2 linked regions of the Kluyveromyces lactis genome follow. The protein of the gene in region 2 interacts with the protein of the main gene of each other region in a pairwise test. Links are inferred from orthologs where the notes say so. Each region holds a gene or a part of one and is shown on either strand. Other genes may lie near its edges.

Region 1 (2,929 bases), on a different chromosome or scaffold from region 2:
CCAAACAAGCGATAAAGTCACACAGGTATCCATACAGCCCACAGAACCTCCTTCCATGGGAGTTCCTGTACTACCACCTCTACCAACTTTGCCAGTGAGATCAACTACTTCTACGATGTCACCGAATTTACCTCAACCACCGCCTATCCATGATCCTAGAAGAAGGAAGCCAGAGGTATCACCGTTTTTACCCAAGAAGAATTTTAAGAATGTTCTACCGAAGAAAAGAGCACACTCCAACGGCAACGCACAAAATGTGCATTCAGAAATCAACGGGAACCATGACTCTGGAACCTTACCAGCACCTTCACCCATATCCAATGTGCAGGTATCGCCTTCCCCGGCTATAATGAATTCAAATAATGTACCGCCTCCTAATGACTCTCTTAATTCTGACGATTTGATCGACTTGACCTCCGATTAACATTCTACAAGGATTACGTTAAGTTTTAGTATGAACTGCATAAAGTATATACATAAAACTTCATAAATCATTCATATACAATATTGTATTTTTACTGTTACAACTACCAAACCGAAAAGAAATGGCTATTCTATTTGATGAAGGGAATACCAACTCCTACAGTTTCCCTGTACGTTATGTACTGATTCCCGAAAAACTGCACGAGGTATCTTTCTTCGAATGCAATTCTACTATTGAAGAATTTCCATAAAACGACAATAAAAATGACCAATGAAACTGGATTTAACAGCATTAGCTGCGAGCCAACAGACCACCAAAAGAATCCAAAGTAACTGGGATGCCTACTCTTTGAATATATGCCGGACGTGACAAGAGTGTGGTCAGAGTTCTTTGTTACCTTCACAACATGTGAGAATGATTGCCCCGCTGTGATCATTGCAGATGATCTAACATACTGTCCAAGGAGTAGCAATACAACTCCTACGGTAACAATAAATTCGTTGTAAAAGGAATAGGTTGTAGATTTGAACGACGGGAATAGAAGGCGTTCTATGATTGTCTCTATCAGTGCAACCGAATGGGCCAAAAAGTACCCGACACCGTTGTTTATCAAAAAGGAGTTTGTATTCAATTTCCCAGGATTGTATTTGGCAGTAATCCAAAACTCTAACAGATGAAATATGGATAGTGAGATCATGTATATGTTGAAGTTCCAAAAAGGAGACAGGCATAATGTAATAAGGGATACACCAAAAATCACTCCTAGCATAAATGCCGTTAAAGATATCTCGTCCAATTCGTTCTTTTGTATATTAGGAAATGTTTTCCCATCAATAATCACAAGAACATCCTCACTTTCATCATCTCTGCTCGACATAACTTCCGCACCTCTCAATCCACGCCAATACCTTCACTGATTTCAACTAGAATAGCTCAGAATAAAAACCAAAAACCAGCGTGAAGGATTCTTCAAGGTCTGATATATTAATGGAATATGATGCGTACTGCTAAATACCAACAGCAAGGAGTTCAAATAGTGTCTTGTTCGATAACAAATAGTTAAGTTAAAGTCTTCTCTTTCATCGGTATTAAAATTGTTTAAAGTGAAAGAATGAAAAAAAAAAGATAATGGCCTCGATTTTATACTATAATCAGTATTTACAAAGACATCAACATGAAGCAACAAACACGGGATCATGAGCAGTGTTTTGAGGTTCAAAGAGAGTAGCTGTTAAGTTTTTTCAGCTAGCAGCAAACTCAGTTGTTACATCTTGTTTCACTGTGTAATTCATAACAGCGAAGACTGCATATCTTGTCATTGCAAACAACGCAGTTAGATATACTGGAGTAACCACCACACATAGAGCAGGTGACGATCATTGGTAAGACCCTGAAAAACTTCTTGTTTTGAACGTTACTATAAATGAGTGTGTGGTTCACTTGGTCTAAAGTTTCTAGATAGGAGTGTAAAGACCTTCTGCTTGAAAGTACTTTCCTTAGTGCTGATATTCTGTTGGAACTTTTCTTTGATTTCCGAGGCGGCTTGCTTGATTTATACAATAAATTCATAGACTTGGGCAAATCGAACTTGGCCATCCTCTGTCTGGATGAACCTGAGCCTGATTGTTGCTCAGATAATATACCGGTGCTTGTTTGATCGATCTTATCTTTGTTCAGCCCCGTGATGTTACTGAGAAGAGTTGTAACTTCACGAAGATCTTGATAGTTTTCTGTGTCAAGTTCCATGAACCGCTTATTAGATCGTAACAAATCAGGCAAGGCATGCTTATCAGATCCTGTCAGTTGATTTATGTCGTCTTTATCGCTTCCCTTGGGCTGATTATATATCTTTGCCTCCAAATCAGCCAATGAATAATTGACTCTCTTGTTTCTTGCTGAGGTTTGAGACTGTTTCGAGACCCTTGCACTTTGATGAGTTTGGTTCAAACTGCTGAAATAAATGTTAGGATTATACGTCCTCACATTGATTTCTTCTACCGACCTCATATTGACACTCTTCGCACGCTTCTTCCTTCTTTTATCCAGTGATAAAGTGTCTTCCTCGGTATACTCACTATGATAAGGTCGATTTTAAATTTCTTTGCCATATTCTCATTTGATATATAATATGGTAGATATGCGAACAACAGTAACTGAAGGGAGAGAAAAGATGTCAATCATTGGGTAAGATAGGCCGTTAACGTATGGTTGATGATGGTACCAATTGTTGCCAGTGCATCCTTGTTCAGTAATTCATAATAGATCATAAAGTGGTTAGAATATCATATATAATGGACTCGTACTAAAACAATATAAACTGGTGCCTGTGCTATATCATAGTTTGGCCTTGGCAGAGTTGTGTAGAGACAAAGTTTCATACATTTCATCTGCCGCCTTAGTTAAATAATAGTGTAGTTCGTCAACACTAAATCCAGAAGCTTCTGGTTTGTTGGTGATATTAATGTGCAAAAATTCGTTATTGATCATATAGGCTAAGCCAAATCC
Region 2 (2,805 bases):
GGTTGAATATAACAATGAAACTGGAAATTTTATAACTCAACCATTTGGCCAGGGTAGCTTCAATTTAGTTCTTGACTTTATTGGAGGGTATGACATTATCGGTCACTCTTCTTCCATTTTGTCCAAAGATGCTACTTACATCACAACCGTTGGCGATAATAAATCGAATTACAAGAAAGATACTTTTAATTCATGGGGTACTGCAAGTTCTAATATTAGAAAGCTGTTCGGACAGGTGCTATGGTCTTTCGATTATCAAATGTTTTATTTTGATCCAAATGCCAAATTAGCGACAAATGAATGGCCAAAAAAATGTCATGAGCTAATAGAAAGTGAAGTTGTCAAGTTTATTCCTGTAGATAGGGTATATGATTGGAAAGAACATCAAAAGGCATTTTCCTATCTGCAGACAGGCCGTGCACATGGTAAAGTTGTTTTAAAGGTAGAGAAGTTTTGAACTTTAAGCTGCACTTATGAATATGTGCTAATATCTTGCGAAATGAATTTATGAAAAGATGTTGAACGACAAAAATGACCAATGATATGGCTACGGCTTATAATCATTGTGATATTTTTAATTTTGTATGTTTTTTTGTTCTAATTGTCTCTTATGAATTGACTATTTATATATTTTTTATGTAACGCCGTCTTAAATTGTTGAAATCTCAGGTGACGAGATCATATGAACCGCTGTTGTGGCCATAGTTGGAAACATAATATCAATAATACTATACTGTACAACACTTAGAGCCTAGAAGATGCTAACATATTTGATGAACTCATTTCATTATTAAACCGACGAAAAAAATCGCAATAGCCAAGATCAGACAAAGCAGCGATTTGATGTTGCTATTCTCGCCAGGATTTTTATCCTGATCTTTCTTATCCTTCTCGGCCTTTATAAGCTCTTGAATTCTTACTCGATCCTCAGGATCCGAAATGTCGTCTAGTGAAGTTGCTTTCTCCGTGGCTAGTTTCTGTGCTTTATTTTCCTCTTGTTGTGCTCCTTTGGATTCCGCTTCCAAAGCAGCCTCCCTCTCTATGTCCTTAATATTCGACTCTCTTAAATCAGGGAACATATTCTTGAATTTGAAATTGCTATAAGTATTAAAATGTTTCGATTTCTTAGCCAGAGTCCTTTTATCCTTATCAGAGGTTGACACCGACCCCGTTGTCTGTTCATCACCTGTCATGAAACTTAAAAGGCCATTCAATATAGTCACTACAGACCATGCTGGGTTCCACGCCTCTGGATGATAATCACTCATCGAAAGACATAGTCTAGTATTTTCCTTGAATCTGCCGTTAGGCGTAATCATGCGAATCGCCGGTGGATTAAATGGGTAGTCTGAAGGGAAAGTTAACGTTCCATGATATTGACCATTCTCATACGGAGTGCTAGGTGGACCGGTAATCACGTAATGCCATTCTAATATGTTATCTTCATGTGGTGCTGCAATAATGAATGGAGGAGGGTTGTTAACAATGTTCTTGTATTCCTTAGTCAACCTTTTGTTAGCCTGTATACTTGCCATCGTACCTTTTAACACGCAAATATGAGATACTGGGATGGTAACGAGCGATAGATTGGAACTTCAAAACAGGAAACACTTGTGTAAGTCTTTCGCAGCGGACAATATACTGTTCTTGACCTTCCTAGATCCTTCAACATTGCAATACAAAAGCATTCTTTCTCTCATTTTGGCAGAAGATACAAAAAACCTTAAAGTTAAATAAAAGTTTCTTAAATACATAAAAAATTCGATTCAAATGTCAGTGGATTCTCTATAAAAAGGGGAAAATCTGGGGTACTCACCACGAGGAAAAGCCTAACAGCTGAAAGTATTACGACCTAATTTACTATGTTCGCTGAAATGACAGTATTTGCTGCCAACTACTGCTGTCTAGTCTTTGTTTCTGCCAAATATCATTATGTCATGTCACCTTATAGTATTATGTACGGAATATCTAATGGAAGAATGAAAAGCTTTAAACAGAGTTTTTTATCATGAAAAGATACAAATTTGAATGAGTCGAAAATCACATCAAGAAAGTAATTAACTTGTAGATAAGGACCAAAGTCCGAAATAATCAACTATATCGTTTAGACAGTTGCTGTTGCCATATCCAATTTCCATATTTGGTTGCATCTGGTGCTCTGGTTTCGGTTTTTTGGAACGTAATATCTACCATATACATACTGTATGGAAACGAGTAAAAGAATGAGTACCAATAGCATCAAATTATTGGCTGGTAACTCTCATCCCGAGCTAGCTCAGAATATTGCTAGAACCCTTGGGTTGCGCTTGTCCAACATCGGAGTTTACCAGTACTCTAATCAGGAAACTTCTGTCACTATCGGGGAGAGTATACGTGATGAGGACGTGTACATTATTCAAACTGGTACAGGGGAGCAAGAGATTAACGATTTCTTGATGGAATTATTGATTATAATTCATGCATGCAGAACAGCTTCTGCTAGAAGAATCACTGCCGTGATTCCGAATTTTCCATATGCAAGACAGGATAAAAAGGATAAATCTCGTGCTCCAATCACAGCGAAATTAGTAGCACAGATGTTGGAAACTGCTGGATGTGATCACGTCATCACTATGGACCTACATGCTTCTCAAATTCAAGGTTTCTTCCATATTCCTGTGGATAATCTTTACGCCGAACCAAGTGTTCTAAAATATATTCAACATAAAACTGACATCGGTAATGCGATCCTTGTATCGCCTGATGCCGGCGGTGCTAAGAGAGTTGCTTCTCTGGCAGATAAGCTAGATTTGAACTTCGCGTTAA

What was found.
Region 1: the proteins of UBC6 (region 2) and STE14 interact in a protein complementation assay, tested with the Saccharomyces cerevisiae proteins (2 studies listed by BioGRID). The link is inferred for Kluyveromyces lactis from reciprocal best matches to the Saccharomyces cerevisiae genes UBC6 and STE14.

What each region holds. Positions count from the first base shown.
Region 1 is NC_006037.1:191,995-194,923, reverse strand, and holds STE14 (protein-S-isoprenylcysteine carboxyl O-methyltransferase), read right to left. Parts: upstream 1,302-2,929; coding exon 555-1,301; downstream 1-554. Other genes in the region: KLLA0_A02189g (Siz/PIAS RING finger protein), read left to right, coding at 1-424; VPS71 (Vps71p), read right to left, coding at 1,682-2,431; carnitine O-acetyltransferase CAT2, read right to left, coding at 2,759-2,929. UniProt on the Saccharomyces cerevisiae protein: Mediates C-terminal methylation of the isoprenylated C-terminal cysteine in A-factor mating pheromone and Ras proteins.
Region 2 is NC_006041.1:1,813,348-1,816,152, reverse strand, and holds UBC6 (E2 ubiquitin-conjugating protein UBC6), read right to left. Parts: upstream 1,536-2,805; coding exon 780-1,535; downstream 1-779. Other genes in the region: KLLA0_E20417g (uncharacterized protein), read left to right, coding at 1-457; KLLA0_E20373g (ribose-phosphate diphosphokinase), read left to right, coding at 2,205-2,805. UniProt on the Saccharomyces cerevisiae protein: Catalyzes the covalent attachment of ubiquitin to other proteins. Functions in degradation of misfolded or regulated proteins localized in the endoplasmic reticulum (ER) lumen or membrane via the ubiquitin-proteasome system.